Alligator mississippiensis: one gene and its partners. The protein of the gene in region 2 binds, or shares a complex with, the protein of the main gene of each other region. Links are inferred from orthologs where the notes say so. Each region holds a gene or a part of one and is shown on either strand. Other genes may lie near its edges. The genes, in order: MED31, MED18 and MED21.

Region 1 (3,751 bases), on a different chromosome or scaffold from region 2:
TTGCCTATTAATAAAAAACCCATTCCTACTTGGCCAAAGGAATTTTATGAATTAAGCAAACTTCATATTATCACTAGGTTAAATAATTCAGCCCCCTTTTTTTGTATTGCTCCCCTTCCCTCTATTATGCATTCCAAGAATAGGAAATACAGTTAACAACAGTAAAAGCCCTGTTATCCAGCACAAGTGGGGAATGGGGAGGTGCTGGGTATCTAAAAATTCTGGTTACCTGAGGCCAACAGTTTTTGGCCAGGGGGGTGGGGTAAGGGTGGCAGCAGCACAGGGTGGACATTTTGGCCAGACGCAATGCAGGGAGGAGGTGGTGGTGGCAGCACAGGGTGGATGTTTCGACCAAACACAAAGTGCTGGCAGCACTGGGTGGTGGCAGTAGCAGTGGCGGCCACCACGTGCGAGCTTCCCTCCCCACCCCAGCACCGTGTCTGGCTGGCTGGCCGAAATTCCGGTTAACAGAGTATTCTGGTTAGTAAAATGATGGATAACAGGACTTCTACTGTAATATTAATTTTTCACATACCCACAGTTGAAATTTCAACTACTTACAGTTGAGGTAATTTGGGTTTGCCAGACACTGGACAAATTCTAACTCTAGCTGGAAGCGAAGTCGATTTCCAGTATCATCTGAAACAGAGGAAGTAGATCAGAAAAAGGAAGCTCAATCTACAAAGACCATAACTAGGAAAAAGCTATTAAGGATCTGATGTCAGATTATGTTGCTCAACTATCTGAGACAGTAAGAAACAAGCAATGTATTCCCCAAAAAGATTCAGATTCGTTTTGAAAAATGGCTCTTGCCAGTTTTTAAAAGTTGTGTCAAAAGAATCGTGTGTGGCCTTGAAATTGAAAGGGAAAAATGACTACTGACTGACCACAATGCAGAACCAGGGGCTAATGAAAGCTGCATTTAGTTTTCCCTTTGAATGTTAGCAATTTTTTACCTCTTACCTGCATGACATGAAAACCTCACTCTCTAATTTTGCACCAAGACTTTAACAAGAGCTTGAGACATGGGTTACTCTGGAAAGAGACCAGTTTTGATTTAAAGCAGTGATTCTCATCTCAAGGGGGGATGACTCTTTGAAGGGTGACAATGAGATGTGAGGAGATGAGTAGATAAACTCAGACTAAAGACTCAGCCACTCCCCCACCCCCAATGCCATGTCCCTCTGCAGGGAGATAAGACCTGAAATAAATTAGTTTTTGAAGTGGGGTGCAGTGCAATTCACAGAAGTTATGAAAGGGTACCTTGAGTCTAGAAAGGTTGAAAATCACCGATTTAAAGACCTCAGCCAATAGGGAACCTTTATGTTAACTATAGCAACAATTAATTAATAAAGGGTACACTTTACTACGAGTTTAATTTACCTAGCTTTGCCTGACAAAACACTAGGTCTCTTTCTGCCGGACTGACACAGACCACCATCAAATTAGCTCTTAACCTTCTCCAAGATAAGCTAAACAAATTGAGTAGGGCTGCACTGATAAAGATTTTTTTGGCTGATACCAACGGCTGATTATTAACCAGCCATATCGGCCGATACCAACCTGATACTGTCAGGAAGTCGGGGAGGGGGGTCAGGGGGGCAGATTAAGGTCTCCACAGTGAGGGAAGGAGTGGGGCAGGGGCAGGGGCTGACCAGCCAGGACAGTGAATGCAACCTTGGGAGTGGGGTGGAGCCACAGACGCCTCATCGGGGGGGGGGGGGGGGGATGTGGCCCCCTGGATTTGTGTGCACGGTGAGGGCAGGCTCTGGAGGCCAGGGGCTGCACCAGCCTCTTCGGAGGGGCACTGCACTTGGGGTGGGTGGGGGTGGGGTGAGAAGCAGCAATACAGGGAGGGGTGGGCTACAGCCACCCCAAAATCCACATAGCCACCCCCTCCCCAGCACTGCTGATGCCCACCCCGCAGCCCCATCTTGAGTCAGAAAACCAAGGGTAGCCTTGAACATCACAGACTAACCAAAGCATCTATACACACAGAGCAAAGCAGACACAGCACTGGCTTTTGGAAGCTGAGGCTCATTTCACAGCACCTGGCACGTGTGTGTGTCTATCTGTATGTGTGTATCGATCTGTACATGGGGGGGGTCTGTATATAGTAGGGGTATCTGTATGTAGGGGAGGGGGGGTGTATCTATCTGTATGTAGGGGGGTGTGGGGCTGGAAGTCGGGGGGTGTATCTGTGTGTGTGTGTGTGTGTGTACGAAGCATACACCTATATTTGGGGATGCGCACGCCTGCGTGTAGCTATAAATAGGGGTGCACGGGCCGTGTGCATCCATATAGGGATGCACGCCTGTGCGCACACTCACACACCGCCCCCCCAGCACAAGCCGTTGCAGGCCGAGGCCCCCCCGGGCGGGCCGGCCGCCCTGGATCCACTTCTGCCCGCGAGGGCCAAACCCCGCCCGCCCGCTCCCCGGGACCCTCCAGGGCTCCCGCCACAGCAGCGTAAAAGCAAGGCCGGGACCCCGCTCCCGCAGCCAGGTAGGGCCGTGCAGCAGCAGCAGCCACCGGCGGCATCGGAATAGGGGTTGTGGTTGTGGTTGTGGTTGGGGCGGGAGCGACAGAGCCCGACCCTCACCTGTCTCCATGACGACCCCAGCGGATCGGGCCCCGCGGATACAAGATGGCGGCGCCCCGCCCCACCCGGAAGTCGCTCGCCGGCCCGCCCGCGATGCATGGCGGGAGCCGCCGCGCCGGCGCAGACGTGGCCTCGCACGGTTTCCCGGGTAACAGGGCCCCGCTCCGCCCCTAGGAGCGCGCCGCGGGGCTCGCCCGGCCCGTGACGTCACTCGCGCTCTGTTATGACGTCCCTCTTATCCCTAGCTGAATCCTTCCCAATGGCAGCGATGAGGGGGTTACTAGTGTGTTTCACCGCGGTGGGAGCGGCGCGTGCTTTGCAAGCCAACGCGGTTTTTAAAACTTCCAAAACAACCATCCTTTGTAAAAACTGTTTGTCGTTGTTGAAGGGTTTCCCGTCCCGAGAGAAACCCGTGGTATGCGGGAGGCAATGTCCTTTCCCCCTTATAGCGTCCTTTCCCCCTTACCCCAGGGAAAGATCAAGCGTGAGGCCACGAAATGAGTCAGACGCGCCGCAGTAAAGCAGACGGCAGAAAGCTGGACTTTGGGGTTGCGATCCGGGGGGTGAGAAACACGCCGGCAGCACAGTTTCAGCGATCAAAGTTCAGCTTTATTTCAACAGCCTCTCTGTGCACACCGTGGACTTGACTTGCATGCTTTCCAATGGGCTTGCCAAACATTTGAGACATTTTCTGTCAAAAAAACCCCAAAAAAACAACCCCATAGCCAGGCAAAACATTTGTTTCACCGTTACAACTTACAGGGGCAGATTTTGATATTATATATTTTCTGAAGAAACATAACAAATACCGTGTGATCACGTCTATCCCTCGTGACCGATGAGAAGGGTTAAGGTTCTGCCCCGTGTTTACTCGTATCAAAACGTACCAGGTGACCCAGTATCTGCTGAATAAACCAAGAGATTTTAGTTAGCTTTTTCTTTCCAGCTGTTTAAAGCTGCAAGGACGATGGCAGAAACATTTCTGCAAAAGGTGGGTCGTGTAAGCGATCCCAAAGAAATGAGGAGCTTAGCCACCGAGTGGGTCCATGAATCATTTCCAGAAGTCGAAACCGTTTCCACAGAGACGTTACAAAGTTGGATAGAAAACAACCCAGAGGAATTGCTCATTCTGGTAAGTGATCCATTGCA
Region 2 (3,121 bases):
GAAACCTGAGCTGGTTGTAAGCTCATTAGGTTTGTTCAAATAAAAACGAAGAAAAAAAGGACTGAAACGAAACGGCATCAGTGGGAAGGGCAGCTGAGATAACTAGAGAAGGGCCCCAATTGCAAATCCGTCTGACTGAAAAGGTGAAGTGAAGAGGCAAGGATTTCCCAGGGCAGCCTCTTTTATTGGACCACCTGCTTGGTTGAGAGGAAGCTGGACAGGCGTTGGGGGGCGCGGTGCTCTTCCTCAGCATGAAAACATTTGTAAATCAGGAGTTGAACTACAGAGGCGTTGCTCAGGAGAAGTGTAGGGAAGTTTGGTGTCCCAAGAGAAACTCTCTCGGGAGACATTTAACTCTGGTTGCTCCCGGGTTATTTCTCTCTCTCAGACACTTTTTCTGGTGAAATCGACGATTTTGCAGGGCACGGAGGTGGGGGCGGGCAGCGCGAGGCGGGCGCTGCAGCTTTGCCGGCTGCCAGGGCCCTTGGCGGGGTTCACAAAACAGCGGCGTGCCCAGGGCACGAGCTTAAGCGGATGAGGTAGGAAGAAATGTCAGGACCCTGCGCTGGCGGGGCAGACAGGGCGGGGGTTACTGGCTGAAGGGCGCGAACCGCGCGTACCCGGATTGGGCAGCAGCGGCCGTGGGGGCAGGGCCGAGGGCCCGCGGCGGTTGGCCTCCGGATGCTGAATAACGGCGAGGTGACATGGCCCCGCCCCCAGGAGCGCGCGAGTCACCAGGCGCCCGCCTCCCAGCTGGCAGCTTCCCTAGGGCTCGCGGGCGGCGCAGGACAGGCCCCGCCCCCGGCCGGAGAACCCCACCCCCGGACTCCGCCCCCGCCGCCTCCCATTGGCGCGGAGACGGCGGCGCATGCGCACCAGGTTTGGACGCGCTTGGAACCCTCCCACCCCCATCCTCGGCCGAGTGTGCGCATGCGCCCTGCCCGAGCTGTCGAGCGACTACCTCTGCCCCCCCACAGCCGAGCTAGGTGGCCGGGCAGCATGGAGGCGCCGCCGGTCACCATGATGCCCGTCACGGGCGGCACCATCAACATGATGGAGTACCTGCTCCAAGGTGAGCCCAGCCCCGGCCCGCGCTGCCTGGGGCGGCCCGAGCCCCCGCCTTCCAGCTGGGAAGAAACCGGCTGCGGGTTGGCACAGTGCTCAGGCAGTGCACGAGGTGGGCAGGGCCTGGGCTCAGAGAGACGGGCAGGCTACATGTATTGCGTAGTTGAGCCATTAATTGCGCGATGTATGTAACCGGCGGGGGACGGGACAGGCGGCCTTGGACGGCCAGACTAACAAAAGCTGGCAGGGCCAGCGCTGACACTGTGCACCTTTATTTCTTCAAGTAATTAAGTTCCCTGCTGCTTTCAGGAAAAAAGAGCCTGGTGTTTTAAACCTCAAGGCAACAGACTGCTCCCTTGTGAAGCCGGGGTGGAGGAGGGGTTTCTGGGCAATCTTGTGCCAATAGAGGAGAGGAAAGGGCATGGGTGTTCGTGAACTGGTGAGCAGTGACGTTTCCGGTCTGTCTTCTCCAGGGAGCGTTCTGGATCAAAGCCTAGAGAGTCTCCTCCATCGGCTGCGGGGCCTGTGCGACAACATGGAACCGGAGACGTTCCTCGATCACGAGATGGTGTTTCTCCTCAAGGGGCAGCAAGCCAGCCCCTTTGTGCTGAGGGCACGGCGCTCGATGGACAAAACAGGCATGCCCTGGCACTTGCGCTACCTGGGCCAGCCAGAAATAGGAGACAAAAACCGCCATGCTCTGGTCCGTAACTGCGTAGATATTGCCACCTCGGAGAACCTGACCGACTTCCTGGTGGAGATGGGCTTCCGTATGGACCATGAATTCGTTGCCAAGGGCCACGTATTCCGCAAGGGCATCATGAAGATTGTGGTATACAAGATCTTTCGCATCCTGATGCCAGGAAACACTGAAAGTATAGAGCCCTTGTCTCTCTCATACCTTGTAGAGCTGAGTGTAGTGGCACCAGCAGGTCAGGACATGGTTTCTGATGATATGAGGAACTTTGCTGAGCAGCTGAAACCATTAGTGCACTTGGAGAAAATTGACCCTAAAAGGTTAATGTGAATAAAAAGCAGTCATGGGTGTTGCAGACCACTTTGGTTCAGGGTCATAATGACCTGCCTCCTTAAACTGTTCTTACAAAATACCTCTTGCAAGATTAAAGCTAGGGGCCAGGAATTATTTGGTATTTAGTTTTGTCACTCTGATAATTGACAGTTTGGGGTAATTTGTTGTTATAGGGTAGCTGTGAATAAAAGATGTTTGAAAACAGCTTAAAAGCAATTCTTTCAAATGAAATTCTAAGCAGTATGAGGAAAGGCATTTAACATAAGTTTGTATTAGCATTCCTGCCCCTCCAGAGTGCGTATGTGTACACGCACACACACTAATACTAGAACAGGGAGCATACAATGCCAAGTTTGAAGACATTTAACTTATGTAATACTGCTTCCCCAGTAGCGTATGTTTGCATGCCTTTTCAACAGTTGTACTTTTGTTGCTCTTGAATGCTGTAATATTCAGGTTCCAGGTTTTAAAACAATGTTCTCAAGCTATTAAAAAAAAAAAGATTCCATCCTGACATCTGGGGTTTTGGAAAAGCTCTTTGGGGGTGGAGAGAGAGAAAAAGAAAAAACAAAACAAAAATCAGGATTTTTAGCCGCAAGTGTACTTCATAATACTTTAAAATCTGCAGTTAGGAATACAGTCAAACACCTCACAGTCTGATTGCTTCATGAAAGTCAAGCATCGCAATGCCCAACTGTTGCACGTGTTGGAGTGAATACAATGGATGGGGGTTGGGTATTTATAGTATTAGAGCAATTTATAAAACTAAGATGAGATGATTTATTATAAGAGTACTGCAAGAGTGGTTTATTTTGATTGCAATTGGTTTCCCATTTTCTCTTTCAGTATTTATAAATCAAACCCTATCCTACAGCTCCATGGGATTTGTATTTAGTATAAAATATTTAATTTTAGCAATGAAAACTCTCAAATGCACACACTCCACCACAAGGGCTATTTTTTCATTAAAAACCTAGGCATTAAATCTAATGTGCCTAAGGCTTCTGACCTGTTACTTTTGTAGCG
Region 3 (3,751 bases), on a different chromosome or scaffold from region 2:
CCCTGTTGATGCCACTGGGGGACTGTCCTAAAGAACCCTGACCACATATTTTACTTGTCCGATAGAGTCCCCCAGTCGTGCAGAGGTATTCTGATGGGTGGCCCAAGCAGATTTTCTAGCTATAATCCCAGCCCAAAAACCAGTTCCTTATTCAAGATTTATACTTAGTATAGCGGGCATGGGGGCTGTCAGTTGGCAGCCTGGCACGGCCAAACCGTGCTGTGGTCAGGGTTCTTGGGACAGTCCCCCAATGGCATCAACAGGAAGTTTGTGGTGGCCCAAGAAGTATTTTGCCCCATGATCCTATCCTAATCTGACCTTCATTTAGGGCTCTGTACTTGAGGTGCGATATTATTTTACATATGAAATAGTACATGTGCATAGCTAATGAAATTATCCCTCTTTAGGATGTGCAATTCATTAATAACAAGCTTTTATTGGGTCTAGATTAGCTTTGAAAAAGGAACCTCACACCGGGAATAAGGAATTTGGAATAAGCAAACAACTTCATTCTTATGATTTGGGGCGGGTTTTGGAAAAAACGCAAGCCCCGGGGAGAGTACATCTCTCAGCCCCGCTTGTTTACTTATCTGCATAGCAGAGGGCTCCTTAAGGTAGGGAACTCAGGCCCGTCCGTCCAGCCCCAAAGGATCCCGCTCCTCCGAGGTGTTTTCCTCTCGAGTTCAATAGGAGCCGGCCCAGGCACAGGCCCTGCAGCGCCCGAGCCCCTCGGTGGCTAAGAGACCTCGCAAGTACCCTCCCGCCAGCAAGGAGCAAGCGCCCCCAGCAGCCAAGACACCCTCCTAGCGGAACCCGAACCACAGACCCGAAAAGGAAGTATGTACAACTCCACCCGTGCCACTTCTACTCCCAGCCCCCTCCCATTCCCTCCCTGACCACCTAAGATTGGGAGCTGCGATTGGCTGCGCCGTCGCGTTTAGGCGCTGACCAATGGGTGGGCAGGATGCTAGGGTGAGAGTATGGCGGACCGGCTCACGCAGTTGCAAGACGCGGTGAATTCGGTGAGGAGTTGCGCCACGCTGTGCCGGGCGGCCGAAGCCCGGGTGGCTCCTGGTCCCGCTCCCCCCTCCCCCACCAGTGGGCGTGGATCGGGGGGGATCTTCTCTTAGGGGGACGAGAGGGGGTCCCGGGGTGAGAGTCTGGTGGAGGGGAGGTTCGGGTGGGGGTTGGGAAGAGGTTGGGGTTGTGAGGAGGGTAGCGGCTTTGACTTTGCCCACTGGGCCCCGTGGCTAAGCATTGCATGCTGTGCGCCTTGCAGCTTGCTGACCAGTTCTGCAATGCTATTGGGGTGCTGCAGCAATGCGGTCCACCTGCCTCGTTCAGCAACATCCAGACCACCCTCAACAAGGACCAGCCAGCCAATCCTACGGAAGGTAAAAAACATCTTGTGCAGCTTTTCTGACTGGCGGGGCAGCTCGCTGGTACACACAGGGGTCAGTGAAGGTAGGGGCTGGATGAGATCTGTTCTGGGTCTCTGCAAGAGCGCAAATGTAAGTAACATTGTCTGGAGTTGGTAGAATTGTAGGAAAGGCAGCTGAAGGGACCCTGAGGTTGTCATGTCCAGCCCCTAGCCTCGGTAGGGTTATTCCTCACTAAGCCATTGCAGAGTTACCATCCTGATGGTCATACTATCTGGAATACCAGTGTGATGGTATCTGGGAACCATCCTGTTCTCTGCTCTAAAATATGTAATGGCAGGACAAAGCAAGAGTTATGTTTCAGGGAAGAGGCAGTTTAAAATATTTAGTGTTTAAACAATCAGGTCAGCCCTAATTTTGTTCCATGTGTTTCTTAAGTGGGATCTCTTCTGATCTAGGTGCACAACCAAAAATACTTCTCAAATTAATCTCCTTTTGCTTTATGTTTGAAATCAGGTTAGGCTTGACCTTGGGGATCCCAAGTGGGGCTAGCACAGTGCACAATGGTGCTGTGCTGCAGTTCAGGGCAACTGAACCATGCACAGCCCTGCATGCAGCATATGCTGGTCCCTATGCTCATGTGCAAATGGCCCCTTTGATCTTACAGTGCATGGGTTGGACCCAGAGCTGCTGGCAGCACAAGGAATCTGGGGCATGGGCTGCAGGCAGCACCCTGAACTGACTTCCTGTCCTGCTTGCAGTGCTGGGGCCACCCCGTGCCAGTTCCAGGGGCTAGCATATGCTGCATGTGGTGCATGAGCTGGACCCAGCACTGCCGCTACTCCACGGGAAGGGTGGGCAGGGGGAGGGGGTTGGTCCTAGTTCAGTCCAGTCCACAGAGTAACTCATAGACACTCAGCTGGCTGCAGGGGTGGATGCATTTGACACCTCTGCCTTAAACTCTGGCCAAAGCACATTCTACTATAGCATGTACTAATCTGGCCACTAGTTAGAAAAGGTTGTGCAAAACACACTAGAAAATGCCAGACTAGCCTCTTCTTAATATTAATGTCCTTGAAAGCAAGAAGGTTTTTAAGTACTGTTTGCAGAGTACTCATTTTTGTATTTAAGGTACAAAAGCATGTGAACAGGGCTATTGAAACAAACATTGTCAAAATGACACTTGATTAGACATGGAAAATGTGTTAATATATTAGGTTTTTAAAGTGTATTAAATCTTTAACCAGAGTATTAGTTGTATGTTCTTAGTCACCATTTTTTTTTTTGTGTGGGGCTTGTTTTTATTCTCTTCCATATTGTTTGGTGATTGTTTTTTGTTTGTTTGTTTGTTTGTTTTTTGGAAACAGTGGTTGTGACTTAAAATATGTCAGATGCACAAAGTAAACAGGAAAAACCTACAGATCTCCTTAACAACCTTTTAACTGTAGTCTTGTTTTACTTGTTAACTGGATTTATAATATTATAAAAGTCAATTTTTAAAACTAATAGAGGAGTTGTATACTTTACCAAAATTTAAAAGTCTTATCACTAGCAAAGGTATCTGGGTTCTAAGCTGCAAATTCTTTTAAACATATGGATAGCAAAGTTTTTAAAGGCATTTAAGTTCAGCGTGCTAAAATTCTAACACAGTAGCAGTAAACCTTTTAATCTAGTTGTTTCTTTAAATTTTTCACCATATTTATGCAGCATTTATACTGCACAGAGGTTGTTGCACACCTGAACATTTGTTAACTAACAGTTAACGAAATGGCAAACCCTACTCGTGTTCTTGCTGCAACTTCATATAGTTATGGGAGCACTATTTGTATACAACTATATTTAATCTGATGTTTTAGCCCTTTATTTGTGAATAGTCTGAATTTTTAGCCTTTTATCTGTGCTCAATGTGATTCAGTTGTCCTAATGTACCATGCTATTGCTGCCTTGTATGGGGAAGTTCTTAAGGCTTGACATTTCCTTGATTTTTAGAAGTAAATACAGCTTGTCTGAAATGGATTTAAGTTCTTTAAATGTGCCCCCAGCTTATTACAGGTCCTCCGAAGAAAAGAGCTAAAAATAGTATATTAGAGTAATTCTTATTTATTTTTAATAGAATATGCCCAGCTCTTTGCAGCATTGATTGCTCGTACTGCTAAGGATATAGATGTTTTGATAGATTCGTTACCTAGTGAAGAATCAACAGCAGCTTTGCAGGTAAGAAAGTTGAAAGCCAAAATACTGAAACACTGCAAAAATGCTTCTTAATCGCATTAAATCACATCTCAAAAGAGTAACTAATGTAAAAGATGTGATCTTGCATATTGTTTAAAATGAACTTCAGCTCTTCAAAAGAGAACCTGTAAATCTCAGGC

What was found.
Region 1: MED18 (region 2) and MED31 share a complex: the UniProt entries of both Homo sapiens proteins name them as parts of the mediator complex. The link is inferred for Alligator mississippiensis from reciprocal best matches to the Homo sapiens genes MED18 and MED31.
Region 3: MED18 (region 2) and MED21 share a complex: the UniProt entries of both Homo sapiens proteins name them as parts of the mediator complex. The link is inferred for Alligator mississippiensis from reciprocal best matches to the Homo sapiens genes MED18 and MED21.

The regions. Positions count from the first base shown.
Region 1 is NC_081837.1:9,414,578-9,418,328, forward strand, and holds the start of MED31 (mediator of RNA polymerase II transcription subunit 31), read right to left. Parts: upstream 2,703-3,751; 5' UTR 2,613-2,702; coding exon 2,603-2,612; intron 2,506-2,602; exon of another isoform or gene 2,423-2,505; intron 640-2,422; coding exon 562-639; intron 1-561. Other genes in the region: uncharacterized protein LOC132244834, read left to right, coding at 2,862-3,017, 3,549-3,734. UniProt on the Homo sapiens protein: Component of the Mediator complex, a coactivator involved in the regulated transcription of nearly all RNA polymerase II-dependent genes.
Region 2 is NC_081826.1:254,265,897-254,269,017, forward strand, and holds MED18 (mediator of RNA polymerase II transcription subunit 18), read left to right. Parts: upstream 1-920; 5' UTR 921-930; coding exon 931-1,072; intron 1,073-1,538; coding exon 1,539-2,092; 3' UTR 2,093-2,609; downstream 2,610-3,121. UniProt on the Homo sapiens protein: Component of the Mediator complex, a coactivator involved in the regulated transcription of nearly all RNA polymerase II-dependent genes.
Region 3 is NC_081827.1:129,467,812-129,471,562, forward strand, and holds the start of MED21 (mediator of RNA polymerase II transcription subunit 21), read left to right. Parts: upstream 1-925; 5' UTR 926-980; coding exon 981-1,022; intron 1,023-1,279; coding exon 1,280-1,394; intron 1,395-3,492; coding exon 3,493-3,593; intron 3,594-3,751. UniProt on the Homo sapiens protein: Component of the Mediator complex, a coactivator involved in the regulated transcription of nearly all RNA polymerase II-dependent genes.